Linked DNA regions of Saccharomyces cerevisiae S288C. Changing the gene in region 1 together with any one later gene gives a genetic interaction. Each region holds a gene or a part of one and is shown in the gene's direction. Other genes may lie near its edges.

Region 1 (3,666 bases):
TGTGGTAGGTTCAGGGTCTTTGCCTGTTTGGCAATATACCATTTTTTTAAGGCAGAAAAAGTCCCCAAATCTAATGCAGCATAGGGAAATATGCCCACTATACCGACTGTGACACCTCTGTAAAATAATCTGACCCCCCCCCTCTCGAAACATATCTTTTGCAGTCTGAAAGAGCAAATTATTCCCCTTCAACTTTGTGTCCAAAGGAGCGCACTGCACCCTGAATTTCAAAGTATCTATAGGATAAACGGAAAACTGAGCTGCCATACCAGCTAAACCACCAGCAATGTAAGTAGAGAACTTTGAAAGATCTTTTGTGTCGCGGCAGCCTTCTAATTTGGTCATTATTTTCTTGGTGACCTCGAAAGAACCAAACTTTATCGAACTTTCTGGAAAAACTTTGATGACGTTTAAACCGTTCCCAACATAAAAAGCCTTTATCCCGCCTTGCCTATATAAGCTTTTGACAGCCTTTGCTAATGGAGATGATATCTTGTTTATGTCAGCATTGGGGTTTTTAGCAAGGAGATCTGTTTTTGAATTTAACAAGATCGAGGATAGATCCGTTCTTGCGATGAGAAACACTTTCAGTCTATCAAATGGCGCGGTACAAGTCCTTGAAATAACACCTGAAATACCACCAGCAATAAAAAACCCGAACCCGCGAATGAAATCGTTTATGAGAGTAACATCTCCCTCTGAGGACAGATCGACATCTTCGTTGAATAGGTAAAAATAGGAATAAGCAGTATGAAGTCTCGAACCCTGCTTTCTCGGTACCAGCAGCAAAAAGTCTCTCCATTGATCATATGTAACGTATAAATCTGAGTCGGTGGTTTTCTTTGACCGATCATTATCAGTATTCTTTTTGTGGCTAGCCTGGCCTCGTAGCGCAATGTTGGCTTTTCTCTTTGGAAACGCCCATTCAAAAAACCTCGAGAATTTGTTCATCTTTTCATTTGAAAGTTCATGATTAAGTTCATTATTACATATGCTCTGGTTGTCGAGGTCTGACAAATACCTATTTATTTCGTTAATGCCAATCTTACCGTCATGATCTAAATCTATCCTCTGGAAGCCGTTCCAAATTTGAGATTCGGCATTGGAAGCATACTTCTTGAAATCGCTTAAATCAACTACAGAGTCCTTGTTAACATCCATTGCAGTAAACAGCATTTTGATTGCCTCATCATTTCCCTTGAGCGGATGGTCGTTCTTCTCAAAAGCACTTATCAGATTATCTAGAGTAACTTGACCATTTCCCTTAACATCAAGTTCCTTGAACAAACACGCATACCGTATATCTCGCTGCTTGTCCGTCTCGCAATTTTTCAGCAGCATTTAGACCGTCATTCGATTGAATTAAACGTTATTTGCCCCTTCAAATATTCAATATTTCCCATCGCTAATAAAAAAGCTGCATTTTTATTTATTACTTTTTAAATATCATATTTGACGATCGTGTAGGACCCCTATGATTTAACATATCAAGAATGAATGAAAAGAACGTCAGAAACACAAGGTTAATTGCCTGTTATAATCAGACGATTGTAATATAACCATAGAGTTAGTGGGTATTGGAAAGGCCGGTAAAGATAACAGGGATCTCTGAAAAATGCCCAAGTTGGAACAATTTGAAATAAAAAAATACTGGCAAATCTTCTCGGGTTTGAAACCAATAGAGAATAAGGTAAACCATGACCAGGTTTTACCAATTCTTTATAATTCCAAATTAGATTCATCGGTTCTAAACAAGATTTGGTTTTTAGCTGATATTGATGACGACGACAATTTAGACTTTGAGGAATTTGTAATTTGCATGAGATTAATATTTGATATGGTTAATAAAAACATTAGCTCTGTTCCAGATGAATTGCCTGATTGGTTGATTCCAGGGAGTAAGGTGAATCTAATCAAAGAAAGAAAGAAGCGCAAGCAAATAGAAAACGCAGACTTGCCTCCAAAGAAGGAAATCAAAGTAGATTGGTACATGTCTCCAGATGATTTGAATCAATATGAAAAAATTTATAATAGCTGTGCAAAACTAACCGATGGTACTATTACATTCAACGAACTGTCAACAAAACTTTCCACAAAATTTTTTAACATCAGTAAGACAGATTTAAATAAGGTTTGGAGTTTAATTAACCCACAAAATTTGCCATCAATTGATAGAGATCCTACTTTTTATTTTATTCACTGTTTAAGACAAAGAAATGATTTGGGTGCTGAAATTCCAGCAAGTTTACCAAATTCTCTGGCGGAGGTGTGCAATAAAAAACAACTGAGCTATGATTTACGGTCCTCTCAACCTCCTACAAAGAGAAAAGAAGAAGCTAACGAAGTGGACAATCTGCGTGACAATGGGCAGAACTCGAGTTCCGATAGCAGTGGCAGTAACGTGCTTTCAAATGAAGACAGTATAAAGCAAAAATATGCTTCTCTGACAGATGATCAAGTTGCGAACATGAGAGAACAATTAGAAGGCCTTTTGAACTACAAAAAGAGTGAAAAAACTCAAGGAGGCTCAAAACTTTCTAAGCGGATTAACATCAGGTCGATAACTGATGACTTGGATAACATTGAACAGCAGGTTGAAGTATTGGAGAATTACTTGAACAATAAGAGACACGAATTGCAAGCATTACAAGCAGAAATCAATTGACACCGATAATTAATTTTATGTACATGAATGTGTAATATTTACTGTTTGTTATTTCACTTGTAAACTTTTTTGATTTGAACTTCAATCTATCCAGTAACGGTGTGGTGTATACTTATTTTTTCCTTTTCTTCTCTGCCGGAATTTCATAAAATTTTTACTGTTCAGCGTTCTTTACATATTTATATAATAGAATATGTCATATAAAGAAACAGTGACTTAGTTTCTGTTTTACTTTTTTTCTCCTATTTCTACCGTGATTTTGATTAGTTTTTTCTTTAATTGTTGCTATTCACTGTGCTTGTGTTAAATCTTGATGATGGTACTTGAACCCTCTGAATAATGATAATATACCTCTTTACAGTAACTATCTTTCTTTATTGGGTGCTTTTTAAATAGTTCCACTATTTCCATCATACTCATTCTCACGCTTCAGCTAGATAGAGCTGTTGTAGTAAACTCAACTGCTTTAGTGAATAATTTAAACACGTTTTCATCGATTAATTTCGCAGCATTTAGCTCCTGCATGACTTTTGAAATTTCAAGAAGAAATCTATGGGATTCGACAAACTGTTCATCAAGATTTGGTGTGGATTTGTAAGTGTTGAATTCAGTAGCAACTAAAGACAATGCATCATTCTTGGCATTACCATTGTGAAGATATTTTTGTAAGAAAAACTCCCACATCATAGCCATTATAGTATTTGGGGAATCTAATTTGAACGGTAAATATCTAACAATCTTTCTTGCCCAACCAAAGTTATCAAGTGATAATCTATTAAACTCGCCAGAAGTTAAAGATGAGATCAAAACGGCTTCAAAAAGTTCATTTAAATTTTCCTTTATGAAAGAAAGATGATCTCTAAAGATCAAAGTTTTCTTATCAATTGGTCCGTGGTAATTTGATGGCTTTTGGTCCACTTGAAATAAAGTTAATACACGCGTAATCAATAGGACGTACAATGATTCTTCAGGATATGAACGAAGAGTGGCTTGAGATAGGG
Region 2 (3,309 bases), 310 kb from region 1:
TTCATTTTAGATATGACCAGTGCCGACTCTCAAGAGCAGGTAAGAGCAAAATTGAATACAATCATGAAGGAGTATATGAACCTTTCCAGGATTGTAAGCATGATCAAAAATTCTATTTTTATATCTGGTAAAGAAATCTCATATGAAAACGAAAAAAACATACTTGTCTTTTCTAAATCCTCTTCGCATGGCCAACATTGTGTGTCTACTGTATTAACAAGTTTTGAAGCAGTATGCGATTTCATGTTAGACGGATTAGCCTTTAGAGACAGAAAGACCTTAAGTTATGAGCTAGGTCCCTTGTTCAATACGGAGTTTACCAAATTTGTGAAAAATAATGCATCGATAATTTTAGAATCACTTGATTCACCGCTAAAAAATCTAGTTTCTGTCATAAATAACAAACTAACTAGACTAGTTGCCAAATCAGAAGTTACCAATTGGACACATTCCGGTAAAGAGATTCAGGATTTGTTAATGAACAAACAATTATACTACAATTTATTACTAGATAAAGTTCTTGAATCGCATATTAGTGAGATAAGAAGTATATTTGAAGATCCAAAAAAGAGCTGGCAAAATTTGGAAGTAGTTGAGCTCACTACTAGCAATACTAATACGATGAGCGAAAAAATTGGAAAAAATGATTCAGATGTACAGAACGAAAAAGAACTCCATAATGCCGTATCCAAAGATGATGATTGGAATTGGGAAGTAGAGGATGATGATGCCGATGCATGGGGTGATGAAATTGATGTAAATATTGACGACGAGGAAGAAAAAACAAATCAAGAGAAGGAAAAAGAACCAGAAGAAGAAGAAAATGCCTGGGATGAAGCCTGGGCAATTGACGAAAATATAGATGATGCTTCCCTAGAAAATGGAAAGGAACATTTAAAAGCTCATGATGTAGGATCACTTGATAAAGACCACATTGAAGTTACACAGTTACCAAAATTGTTCTTGGCAATTTCACAGAATTTCAAGAGTAGCTTTGCAGATAGCCATGTTGATGAGCAATACTTTGCGTACAAATACAACCTTTTGCAGACATCGTATATGGCCATGTGCACAGCTAATTTTTCTCACAATTGGTGCCAATTATATGTGGATATGAGATATCTAATAGAACGAGATGAAAAGCTGTATAGAATAAAAGAATTAACAAGGAACCTGCTGGAAACTAAACTGAACATGAAATATCGTATTGTCTGTCAACTAATCAGGCATCAATTGACCGAATTTCGTGAGAACGAGAGAAATCCATCGTGGGACGCCACCATTGAGAAACTGCTACCTTATATCTTGAAGGAAATTGTTCGTCCACTGCAGAAAATAAGAGGTGAAGAAGGTTCCCGTTACTTGTTGTCTTTCTTAAACTTTTTATATAACGATTGCGTGACAAAGGAAATATTAAAATGGCAGATTATCTCTGAGGTCAATTCCGAAAATTTGGGTGAGCTCGTATCTTTATTAGTGAACAACACCGATATACAATTATTAGCGAAGGAACCAAGTTACAAAAAGATGAGAGAAAAATTCGCCACTATGGGCAAGTTTCTACCATTACATTTAAAGGAGATTATGGAGATGTTTTACAATGGGGATTTTTATCTTTTTGCGACAGACGAACTAATCCAATGGATAGAGTTATTGTTTGCCGACACTCCCCTGCGAAGGAATGCCATTGATGATATTTACGAAATTAGAGGCACTGCTCTAGATGATTAAAAAATAATTAATCGTAGGATAGGTTACATGATCATTGCAATAGATGTACATCTTGTATTACGTATGCGTAAGTTGTCTTTTTTTCAGTTTTCTAATAAATTTCACGTGATGCGGTAGTTTTTTTTGGGGGTGCAAAGTTGGCACATCTTGTAGTGCATTTTTGAGCTTCTTAAATGACTTGAATCATCTTAAAACATTGCAGGATGAGATTTCCAACGACACAAGAGAGAACTAGCGCAAAAGATGGCAGAGATAAAACATTATCAATTCAATGTCGTCATGACCTGCTCGGGATGTTCTGGTGCAGTCAATAAAGTTTTGACGAAATTAGAACCAGACGTTTCCAAAATAGATATATCCCTTGAAAAGCAATTAGTAGATGTATATACTACACTTCCTTACGATTTTATTTTAGAAAAGATTAAGAAAACCGGAAAGGAAGTTAGATCTGGCAAACAATTGTGAATGAAAGTGAAGAGAAATAGTTTTTTACTCTATTTTGTATTGTAGCTACTTAAGTAAATGATTAATATTCTCAATAGGATGCTTACGAAGAAAAAAGTCTTTTTTTATTGTTTTATTGTTTTATTCTTTGTTGGCTATGTAGCCATTTGCCTTTTCAGTATAATCTTACTAATATAAAAATCTCAATCATGGTGAGAAATCGTTTTATAAGAAAAATGAAAAAAAACTTGTTTAAATCAAATCACTTATCATATTTGAAGAGTAAATGGAAAGTAAAGATCACTGGACAAATAAAAATGGATTTTGATAATTTACTAAACCTAGAAGAACAGTATTACCAAGAAGGTTTTCTGGAGGGCCAGAATGAGAATATAAAGCAGAGCTTTCTAGAAGGTAAACAGTATGGTTTACAAGTGGGATTCCAAAGATTTACGCTCCTGGGACAAATGGAAGGTTTGTGTGATGTTATAGAATCGTATGGATTGCATAGTCCAACACTAGAAAAGAATATACATACCATTCGTACTTTAATGAAAGGTTTGAAAATGAATAACGATGATGAAAGTGTGATGGAATTTGAGAGGGTGTTAATAAAATTGAAAAATAAGTTTAGAACCATTCTAATAACTCTTCATCGATTAGTTAAAGATAAAAGAACCCCCACCGTGACATTTGAAGTCTTTGAAGACGTTTCAAGGGCCATTGCCGGAGAAATTAGAGGTTTTGTAGAAAATGAAGACATCGCAAAGAATAAGACAAAACAAAATCAGGCTCAATCCTGGTAAGAATACCAAGTGAAGAACATTATCGCCGGCCGCCAAAAAGAGCAACTAAACTAACAATTTTGCGCCGTTCAGTCTCCTCATTCATTGTTTTTCCATACAGTAGGGCGCTTTTAATAGTTTCTAGTGGACTGAATTAATAACGGTTATACGTATTAATCTTTGATTACCATATCCAAGAAACAGAGCGTAGAGCGTGGGAACAAAAAATACAAGGTTTACTTGATAATTGTTCATTCTATCCCACTATGTATAAATATTTATATAACGTAGTTGTTGTTTCGAACGTATCCTGCCCTCTGGATACCTTCCAGGGAGATAATCATTCGTG
Region 3 (5,534 bases), on another chromosome or scaffold:
TAATGAGGCGAAAATTTTTAATTATGGTAGAATTTACGGCGCTGGTGCTAAATTTGCGAGTCAGTTACTTAAAAGGTTTAACCCATCTCTAACTGATGAAGAGACAAAAAAAATTGCGAATAAGTTATATGAAAATACGAAAGGTAAAACGAAAAGATCAAAATTATTCAAAAAATTTTGGTATGGTGGATCTGAGTCAATTCTATTCAATAAATTAGAAAGCATCGCGGAACAAGAAACTCCAAAGACACCGGTACTGGGATGTGGTATTACCTATTCACTTATGAAGAAAAATCTGAGGGCGAATTCCTTTCTACCTTCAAGAATCAATTGGGCCATCCAGTCATCTGGAGTGGATTATCTACATCTTCTTTGTTGCTCCATGGAATATATTATTAAGAAATATAACCTTGAGGCAAGGCTTTGCATTTCCATCCATGATGAGATTAGATTTTTGGTGAGCGAAAAGGACAAATACAGAGCTGCTATGGCTTTGCAAATCAGCAACATATGGACGAGAGCAATGTTTTGCCAGCAAATGGGGATAAATGAATTACCGCAAAACTGTGCCTTTTTCTCGCAAGTAGATATTGATTCTGTCATACGTAAAGAAGTCAATATGGACTGCATAACCCCCTCGAACAAAACCGCCATTCCTCATGGGGAGGCGCTTGATATCAATCAACTGCTAGACAAATCCAATAGTAAATTGGGTAAACCAAATCTCGATATCGACAGCAAAGTATCACAATATGCCTATAACTACAGAGAACCTGTATTTGAAGAATATAATAAATCTTATACTCCAGAGTTCTTAAAATATTTTCTTGCGATGCAAGTCCAGTCAGATAAGCGCGATGTGAATCGGCTAGAAGATGAGTATCTGCGGGAGTGTACATCCAAAGAATACGCTAGAGATGGGAACACTGCAGAGTACAGCCTCCTAGACTATATAAAGGATGTCGAGAAGGGCAAAAGGACTAAAGTACGTATTATGGGATCCAATTTTTTAGATGGTACCAAAAATGCCAAAGCTGATCAACGAATCAGATTACCTGTCAATATGCCAGATTATCCCACACTTCATAAAATTGCTAACGATTCAGCAATCCCAGAAAAGCAATTGCTGGAGAACAGGAGAAAGAAGGAAAACAGGATAGATGACGAAAATAAGAAAAAATTAACCAGAAAAAAGAATACCACGCCTATGGAAAGGAAGTACAAAAGAGTGTATGGTGGCAGGAAGGCATTTGAAGCGTTCTATGAATGTGCAAATAAACCGTTAGACTATACTTTGGAGACAGAAAAACAATTCTTTAATATTCCTATAGATGGAGTGATTGACGACGTTCTGAACGACAAATCTAATTATAAAAAGAAACCATCACAAGCAAGAACGGCATCATCATCGCCAATAAGAAAGACTGCGAAAGCAGTACATTCCAAAAAATTGCCGGCAAGGAAGTCAAGCACTACAAATAGAAATTTGGTTGAGCTGGAAAGGGACATTACTATTTCTAGAGAGTACTAGGCAAAATCTGCATTAGCTTTCGCATTTGTATTTATATATACAGCACATTATAATATTATTTTTTTATTTATTTCTACTTACTTTTTTTCGCCAAATGAGAAAACAAAAGTAAGTTGCCCCTATTAGAAAAAGAGTTAACATTAGGAAACGGGGACAAAACAAAAGGTAGAATTCAAAATAGGAATTCAAAACCCAAATTATCTGCATCTTCTCGTTAGCTAAGATTTTATAGATCATTGCAGGCTCGATAAATTTTACATGGTAACGAAACATGTCGTTTGATTGGCTTAATGTTCCGGGATTGGACTTAAGCAGCGGGGACCAAGCAGAAAAGAGGCCATCGAATGGATTAGGACCACCCAGTGTGTCTTTTGATTTTGGTATAAATACTGCTGCTCCACATGATTCCAGCTTTTGGGATCAGGGATCAAGAAGTCACAGTGATACAACTTTGTCTTACAGAAATAATCACTCAAATACAGCAGCTGATAATGCCACTAACGTGAGCTCTCCTCAAAAGGATAATCCACCTAATGGGGAGGTACGAACACTTTCTGGAGGCGATGTGTACGCGGAGTCACCAGAAGACATGCAAGTCCCATTGTCTTTATCACAAAACCAACTTACCCATGAAGAAATAAGGACATATCTAAGATGGTACCACTATATATGTTTGAGAACCCATGGAAAACTAGTAAGATTGAACGACGTGTTTAGGTTCTTGACCAATTTTAATTTATCACAAAAAGTAAAAGATAGAATTGTGGAAATTTTCCGTAGCTGTAAAAATGCGTTAAATATTGGTCAATTTTTCGCTGTTTTAAGATTAGTTTCTAGAGCTATTATATATGGCATCTTACCTCTAAGACGCATGATCTTGGAAAAGGCACCTGTTCCCAAACCACGTCCTATCCTAAGTAGTGAGAATCACGAAGAGGTGTACGAGGAGGTGGAAGACGATGATAGTTCTGCCAAAACTGGTGATCAAAAGGTCGATTTTGACTCATTTGCTTCATTGCTGTTGACTGGTAAGACAACGAGAAAAAGAGTCAGGAGAAGAATCAAAAATTTGAATTTTAAGAGTAAGAAGGTTAGGTTTTCAGAGCATATAACATTTCAAGACCCTCCAAACCTCAATCAAGAATCATCTAATAATAGTGAAGCAAGAAAGCAAGATCCTGATGCAGAAGATGAAGATCAGGATTCTAATAATGACAGTCCTTTGGATTTCACATTGCCCATGGATCAATTATTAAAGAGGCTATATAAGCGGAGAAAAAACAGCGGATTAGTTTCGAGTTTGCCCAGCGAACAACAAGAAACTGAGGAGGAGAAGAAAGTTTTGGAGGATATGAAGGATTCCTTGTCCCATTTCAAACAAATACAGACTGTTGATTCTGCCTCATTGCCAATTTCATCGGTATTTTTACAGAATGGCAATACTCTACCAACTAGCAATGTGAATAACACCACTGTTCCACAGCAACTTCCGTTAGAACCTTTGAAGCCAACCGCCACAGGTTCAGCTAATCACCTGGTGCGAGAAGAATATAATCAGGGGTTGCATCCAAGCAACGGTGCCATCCAAACAGGTTTACAACCTTTAAAACCAACAGCAACGGGCTCTGCAAATTATTTGATGCGAAGTCATATGGAACAACCTCAGTCTATCAAACCTTCGAGTACACCAGAAACAGTTACAAACTCTGGGGGACTTCAACCTTTGAAACCTACCGCCACAGGTTCTGCAAATTACTTGATGAAACAGCATATCTCACCTTCAGTTAATAACCCAGTATCTTCGATGTTTCAGGCGCAATTTACGAACCAATCTTCATCTCCACAAAGTACAGGACCAGCATTTCTGAATTCTCCGAACATTACTCTTCCTCAAAGCAATCAACAGCAACCTTACCAAGAGGTTAATCCGACTCAAGCGAAAATTGAACCATCTAACATATCGCCTCAACACACCTACTCTAACAATGTTCGGATTAATAATGGTAACATCGTATCCATGCCGAAAGTAGAAATAACTGGTGCATTCCCCCCTCAAAACACTCTTCCTCAACATCAGCAATCGCATTTGCTTTCTCCTCAAAATACGATCCCGCAGCACCAACGGTCGCAATTGATATCTCCACAAAATACCTTCACTCAAAATCAGCCCATTCTTTCTCCGCAACATACTTATTCCAATAATCAAGCAACAATGATATCCCCCCAGAATACGTATACTAATAATCAACAGCAGCCCCAACATCTTCCACCTCCTCCACCTCCACGCGCTCAGCAGCAGCAACAAGGGGCCATTGTGCCACCTCAACATATGTACTCTAACGTGCAAAAGCAGAATAATTTGGTGCCGACCCAACCCTCCTATACAAATTCACCAAGCATACAATCTCCAAATTTTTTGTCACCTCAGAATGCTGCTAATAGTTACTTTCAATCTTTACTTTCTTCTTCACCATCTCCAAATCCTACGCCATCAAATGCGTCTACTGTTAATGGCAATAACGCCAGTAATGGCATAAGTTCATTCCAAAATACTAGTGCGGCAATGAACAATACTCAATCTCATCAGACGTATATTCAGCAGCAACAACAACAACAAACTCAACAACGAATATATGGTGGCCAACTTTCTCAAATGCAACAACATCCGGGGCAACTTCACTTAAACAACAGTGATATACATAGCCAACCTAACAAGCCTAATTACGGAATGCTAGGGCAGCAAGTTCATCAACAGCAACAGCAACAGCAGCAGCAATTTCCATTCACTGCAGATGTTAATAGATCCAATTCAAGCGATATTTTGGGTAACTTGCAGTCATTGCAGCAGCAAGTCGATGCTTTACAAATCCAATATAATAGGAGACCATAGTATCGTAAGCTAAACGAGGTGTATAGTTTTGAAAGATAATATATGTAGGTATATGTGTACATAAAGTCACAAAAGTGATGTAATTTATGAACACCTGTTTACTAGCATTATTTATTGTCTTGATTATTGAGCTAGTCTTTTAGTTTCACCAAACATTTAGCAACATGGCGTAAACCTCTGAACAATAGTTAACTAATTTTGCATATACAATGAATGTAGCCAGTAATATTTAATTATTTCTTTAATTTTTTGCTTTTCTTTGGAACCCGCACCAGCCAGTATAAAAATATTGCTGCACAATAGTCAAAGACAATATATGCACTAAAAATGCCATAGTTCATCCATCTACGTGAATACGAAGAACTCACAGTCGCCAGATAATCATTGGTAGAACTGAATTGACAAAAGTGACATTCAGTTTCGGAACTCCCATCGAGCAGATAACCCGTCCCGGTGGATTGCATATAAGGTTCCATATATTCCGAGCATGTCATACCGCTTGGAGGAACAATTTTTAAAAGTTCGTTGCTGGAACAAACGACACTAGCATTGGCCAGTCCTACCGATAGCAGAGCATCAATGAGGTATGTCAGTGGCGATACTCTATACATAAAAATCCAGAATCTTGGTAGAATATTTGGCGTAGCCAGAACACCGCAGAAAGATAATGACATTATAAAGAAAAGTGAAGCGAGATTCGCAGCATTTTCTGCAATTTCAATGCATGAAATCACTAATACCCCCATTGAACTGATGTAGACGTAAAACGCGCACGCAAATAACCAAAATAAAGCTCCTCGTTCATGAAGTTGATTTGCATAAGAAGCATTTCTGTAAAATCCAACAGGATAATAATAGACGAAAAAAGCTATAGTACCGGCCAGTAAATTCCAAGGGATTTCCACGAGAATCTGCGATACAATAAATGCTTTCCACGAAAAGGTTCTTGATGGCCTTTCTCTAGCTTCATAAAGTTCCCTCTGCTGAACGAAAAGTGGTAAATATTGTTGCAATATTGGGTTGAATACCACTGTAAACATAAAAATGGCCAGCATTTGATTCTGTAGGCCCTGTAATGATGTATTCGCCTTGAAAAAAGTGAAGCCTATGAAG
Region 4 (5,543 bases), on another chromosome or scaffold:
TCACTAGGTATATCGTCTTTGAAGACAAGAGATTGCCTGCACCCTTCTGACGATGAAAATGGAAATCAAGAGACGGAAACTGCCACAACAGCAGAGAAAGAAGTTGAAGATTTACAACTCTTTACGCTACATTCACTAAAAAGGAAAAATTGTCCCGTTTGCAGTGAGACTTTCAAACCAATAACACAGGCATTACCATTTGCTCATCACATTCAGTCTCAATTATTTGAAAATCCAATACTATTACCAAATGGAAATGTTTACGACAGTAAAAAATTGAAGAAATTGGCCAAAACATTGAAAAAGCAAAACTTAATTTCTTTAAATCCAGGTCAAATTATGGATCCAGTTGACATGAAAATATTTTGCGAATCAGATTCTATCAAAATGTACCCAACCTGAAATAGTTTCAAGCTATATGCATTTTTTTATATAAAGATTTGTCCAACTTTCACAACTATTTTACAGATACTTACGCTATATAAGAATTAGGGAAAATGAAAGTTCTTTCATCAACATGGCGACATTCTTCCTTCTGTACTTAGTCTGAATCAGAATCTGTGTCTTTTTTGCTTTTACGGTTATGTTTTGAACTATTCGAGACATATTTACTAAAGATGTAGAACCTAGCATCACGTTCTTTCGCAGGTTTTGTAGTATCTTGTTCGCTATTCGTTCTCCGGTGATGATATCCTGGAAAATTTTCCCATTGGAATTTGCTCGATCTGCTCAGAGTTAGTCCATTTTTTTTGGCTAAAAGTTTGATTTGCCATGAATCATAGGGCTCTCCATCGAAAAGGGACAGTATGATGTTACCATAACCTTCGGCGGTCAATTTTTTAGCCTGGGGAGTATCCTCATTAAGATCATAGCCTTGCGTATAACGAAGAGTATCATTTTGAATTTTCGTGTTTATAAGATTAAATAATTGTAAGGAATTTTGGAAAAAGTTAAAAATTAAGTCCTGATGCTCTCTAATATTTCTTTCTTGATCCTTAATACCTTTTCCATTATGGGGAAAATTGAAAACTATATTTTGTAAAGGTTTGTTACCCCAACGATGATCGCTAAGCCTGTTGATTATTTTAAACCAAGTATTATTTTTGGAAATTTTAAAGCTCTTTACGAGCTTCGTAACGTCAATCTGGAAAAATATCGGAATATTTAGATCTTTTAAGTACTGGTAATTTTCCTCAAAAGTATGCGGATATTTCAATTTCAGCTCATTCACAGAATTATCGTAACTTGTTATGATTAAATTGTCACTTTCAATATAGTTTTGTTCAACAATGGATCTGGCAAAAGAAAAATCTCCTTCACCACATAGCATCAAAGTTTCATCCTTCTCAAAGGGCATAACCTTCCCTTGATTAAGTTTTTGGAATTCTTGGTTTCTCTTCACGGTTTTGTTATTAGCGCTCGAATTTTTCTTTCTTAGTTCATGTTTTTGCTTACTTTCAATATTCCTCACTAATTTCACTTTGGCCTTGTGCCTTAATAATGCACCTTTTAGGCCTTTACTCCCAATCTTACCCTTCAATTTCCTGGCCATTGATAATTTTAGGTTATGATTGGTGTTAATCTATGATTTTAACGTTACTAAACGTTGTCAGGCTCCAATGAATTTAAGTAATGGAAGGTTTTCTTTTAAGCTCATCGCATCGCCAATTCTTTTCTTTTTTTTTTTTTTTTTCCGAATAATTTACATTCTTTCTACAGGAGAAAAATATGGGAGCCAGCTTGAAATACTAAAATCATTAATAATACTGATGTACATGATCCAATAACAAGATCAACTACGACTTTTGTTATTACTGATTCAGAAGGAAAAAAAAATTGACTTCCAAGAAGTCATAAAAATAAGTGGTCTCTAGCGGGATCGAACCGCTGATCCCCGCGTTATTAGCACGGTGCCTTAACCAACTGGGCCAAGAGACCAGGAATTTGTTGAAGTATTTCATGTAAATTTAATATTAGTACTGATAGAGATTTCCGATATATATGATCGCTCTCAATTATTTTATATCAAGTAAATGTCAATGTCGTTAGTTTGCACTAGCTGTTACTATTTATTCTTAGTAAAGGTTTTTAAAAAAAACTGTAATTATAACCAGGCAGGCGTATGCAGAGCGAAGGTCTTGGAAAAAGAAAAATATAGAACAGTACATTTAGGAAACGCTAAAAAAGTCACCAAGCAGGCAGGTCACAGGCTCCACTTGAACATAAGTTAGTTCGCTAATACAGGTTGAATTTCCATTGTGGGATAGTTTATTATCTTCAGCGAAAAAAATCTTTTTTGATTGAAGTGTTGATCAAGATTATTTGTAACCTCCTATCTTTAGTTGAACTGATCCAAAAACAATGAATACTCCACAGATTAGTCTGTATGAACCCGGGACAATATTAACTGTGGGATCTCATCATGCTAAGATTATCAAATACCTTACGAGTGGTGGATTCGCACAAGTATATACTGCCGAAATTTCCCCTCCTGACCCATATAGCAATGCTAACATAGCATGCTTGAAAAGAGTCATTGTCCCCCATAAACAGGGTTTAAATACCTTGAGAGCTGAAGTGGATGCTATGAAACTCCTTAGAAATAATAAGCATGTTGTTTCTTACATAGATTCACATGCTGCAAGGTCTGTAAATGGTATAGCATATGAGGTGTTTGTGTTAATGGAATTTTGTGAACGTGGAGGTCTTATAGATTTTATGAACACCAGATTACAAAATAGATTACAAGAATCTGAAATATTAGAAATTATGAGTCAAACCGTCCAAGGTATAACTGCAATGCACGCTCTGCAGCCGCCATTGATTCATAGAGATATTAAGATTGAGAATGTACTTATTTCTCATGATGGCTTGTATAAAGTTTGTGATTTTGGTTCCGTTTCCGGTGTGATAAGGCCACCTAGAAATACTCAAGAGTTTAATTATGTTCAACACGACATCCTAACAAATACTACAGCTCAGTATAGATCACCTGAAATGATTGACCTGTACAGAGGGTTACCTATCGACGAAAAATCTGATATTTGGGCTCTTGGTGTCTTTCTTTACAAAATATGTTACTATACTACGCCGTTTGAAAAAAGTGGTGAAGCCGGTATACTACATGCAAGGTATCAATATCCATCCTTTCCGCAGTATAGTGACAGGTTGAAAAATTTGATACGTCTTATGTTAATGGAAGCACCATCTCAGAGGCCAAATATTTGTCAAGTTTTAGAGGAGGTTTCCAGGTTACAGAATAAGCCTTGCCCGATTAGAAATTTTTACTTGTTAAGAGCAATGAATCAGAATGCGAATACCCAATTGGCCGGTGAACCGTCTTCGACAACTTATGTTCCAACACAGAAATTTATTCCCGTACAAAGCCTTCAGAGCATCAACCAGCCACCAAATATGATGCCTGTAACTCACGTCAGTACTACTCCTAATTTGGGTACTTTCCCTATATCTATTAATGATAATAACAAGACAGAAGTAACGGCGCATGCTGGCTTACAGGTTGGAAGCCATTCAAATTTGACTAGTCCCTTAATGAAAACAAAATCCGTTCCACTTTCTGATGAATTTGCATCACTATATTATAAAGAGCTACACCCTTTTCAAAAGTCTCAGACTTTCAAATCAGTAGAAAGTTTCCAATCCCCACAAAGGAAGTCTATGCCTCCATTATCGCTTACTCCTGTTAATAATGACATTTTTGATAGAGTTTCGGCAATAAATCGTCCAAATAACTACGTTGATTCTGAGACGCAAACTATAGATAACATGGCTGTGCCAAACTTAAAACTATCTCCCACCATTACAAGCAAATCACTAAGCTCCACAAAAGAAATTGCTGCTCCAGATAATATAAATGGAAGCAAGATTGTGCGTTCACTAAGCTCTAAGTTAAAAAAGGTTATTACTGGTGAATCTCGCGGCAATTCTCCGATTAAATCAAGGCAAAATACTGGTGATAGTATCAGATCAGCATTTGGTAAGCTTCGTCATGGGTTTACAGGAAACTCAGTGAACAATAGCAGGTCTGCTTCCTTTGATAATAACAATGTCAACGGCAATGGTAACAATACAAACAGGCGATTAGTTTCGTCTTCAACCTCCTCCTTTCCTAAATTTAATTCTGATACCAAAAGAAAAGAGGAATCAGACAAGAATCAGAGACTGGAAAAACGTCGCAGTATGCCTCCTTCAATTTTATCAGATTTTGACCAGCATGAGAGGAATAACTCGAGAACTGGATCAAGGGACTATTACAGGTCTCATTCTCCAGTGAAGAAAACTCAAGCATCAGCTAAAACGACATCAAAGCCTACTTTGATACCAGATAATGGCAACGTTAATATAAATCAAGAAAAGAAGGAATCAATTCAAAGAAGAGTGCATAACTTACTAAAGAGTTCTGATGATCCGGTAACGTATAAATCCGCATCCGGGTATGGTAAATATACAGATATTGGTACAGAAACTTCCAATCGACATTCAAGTGTAAGAATAACACCAATCACAGAAGAAAAGTTTAAGAAAACCCTTAAGGATGGTGTTTTGGACATCAAAACGAAAAGCAACGGTAAAGATAAATCAAGACCACCACGTCCACCACCAAAACCACTACATTTAAGGACAGAAATTCAGAAGATAAGAAACTTTAGTCGTTTACAATCAAAGAAACTGCCGATTGAAAGAATTTCCAGCGAAGCCACAGAAACTATTGTTGATGTTAACGTAGATGATTTAGAAGCCGATTTTAGAAAAAGGTTTCCCAGCAAAGTTTAAAACTTGCTCTCACACATAATAGACTATGTAATATTAAAAGTCATACAAAATGTACAAATTTTCTTTCGTCAATCATTTGAAATTTTTTGAAATATATCTTGTCACTCATTCATTTATTTATTCGTTTCTATTTTCCTATTATATGCTCTATAATCTCGACAAAACGTCGTCAACGACTTGTTGAGTAGAAGCCTTACCACCTAAATCTGGTGTCTTGATAGAACCCTCTCTTAAGTTAGCATCAACAGCCTTGTAGATATCTTGGGCAGCTTCGTTGTGGCCCAAGAATTCCAACATCAAAGCAGTAGATCTTATAGTGGCGATTGGGTTAGCAATACCTTTACCAGCAATATCTGGTGCAGAACCATGGCATGGTTCACCAATGACAATTTCTGGACCTACGTTGGCGCTTGGAACAACACCTAATGAACCGACTAAAGCAGCAGCACCGTCAGATAATATATCCCCGTATAGGTTTGGTGCCACTATCACATCAAAACATTGTGGTTCTCTGAACAGCCTATAAACCATGGAATCCACAATTTGTTCGTTATATTTGATTTGACCGTACTTGTCCTTGTTAGATTCGTAGACTTCCTTACAGATTTCTCTGAATAGACCATCACTTTGAGATAGAACATTTGATTTATGAGTCACTGTCAAAGTGGCTTGGCCTCTTGTTTGTAATCTTTTCAAGGCAATATCTAATGCAATGGTTGCAATTCTTCTTGTTGCAATTTCGGATATTC

The links.
Region 2: mutations in END3 (region 1) and ATX1 are lethal when combined (synthetic lethality), as found in Saccharomyces cerevisiae (one study listed by BioGRID).
Region 3: mutations in END3 (region 1) and SCD5 are lethal when combined (synthetic lethality), as found in Saccharomyces cerevisiae (2 studies listed by BioGRID).
Region 4: of END3 (region 1) and PRK1, a mutation in one rescues a mutant of the other (synthetic rescue), as found in Saccharomyces cerevisiae (2 studies listed by BioGRID).

Annotation. Positions count from the first base shown.
Region 1 is NC_001146.8:469,052-472,717, reverse strand, and holds END3 (End3p), read left to right. Parts: upstream 1-1,615; coding exon 1,616-2,665; downstream 2,666-3,666. Other genes in the region: Ca(2+)-binding ATP:ADP antiporter SAL1, read right to left, coding at 1-1,341; MKT1 (Mkt1p), read right to left, coding at 3,095-3,666. UniProt on the Saccharomyces cerevisiae protein: Component of the PAN1 actin cytoskeleton-regulatory complex required for the internalization of endosomes during actin-coupled endocytosis. The complex links the site of endocytosis to the cell membrane-associated actin cytoskeleton.
Region 2 is NC_001146.8:156,531-159,839, reverse strand, and holds ATX1 (copper metallochaperone ATX1), read left to right. Parts: upstream 1-1,974; coding exon 1,975-2,196; downstream 2,197-3,309. Other genes in the region: DSL1 (Dsl1p), read left to right, coding at 1-1,731; ribosome biosynthesis protein LTO1, read left to right, coding at 2,493-2,981; ORC5 (origin recognition complex subunit 5), read right to left, coding at 3,301-3,309. UniProt on the Saccharomyces cerevisiae protein: Copper homeostasis factor that specifically transports copper to the secretory pathway for incorporation into copper enzymes destined for the cell surface or extracellular milieu.
Region 3 is NC_001147.6:935,618-941,151, reverse strand, and holds SCD5 (Scd5p), read left to right. Parts: upstream 1-1,802; coding exon 1,803-4,421; downstream 4,422-5,534. Other genes in the region: DNA-directed DNA polymerase gamma MIP1, read left to right, coding at 1-1,531; ATP-binding cassette multidrug transporter PDR10, read right to left, coding at 4,655-5,534. UniProt on the Saccharomyces cerevisiae protein: Regulates both fluid phase and receptor-mediated endocytosis. Involved in vesicular transport at a late stage of the secretory pathway. Regulates actin cytoskeleton organization.
Region 4 is NC_001141.2:181,576-187,118, forward strand, and holds PRK1 (serine/threonine protein kinase PRK1), read left to right. Parts: upstream 1-2,361; coding exon 2,362-4,794; downstream 4,795-5,543. Other genes in the region: glucose-induced degradation complex subunit FYV10, read left to right, coding at 1-402; BMT5 (25S rRNA (uracil2634-N3)-methyltransferase), read right to left, coding at 542-1,552; LYS12 (homoisocitrate dehydrogenase), read right to left, coding at 4,942-5,543. UniProt on the Saccharomyces cerevisiae protein: Protein kinase involved in the regulation of actin cytoskeleton organization and endocytosis. Phosphorylates PAN1 which disrupts the interaction between PAN1 and END3, and between PAN1 and SLA1. Phosphorylates SCD5.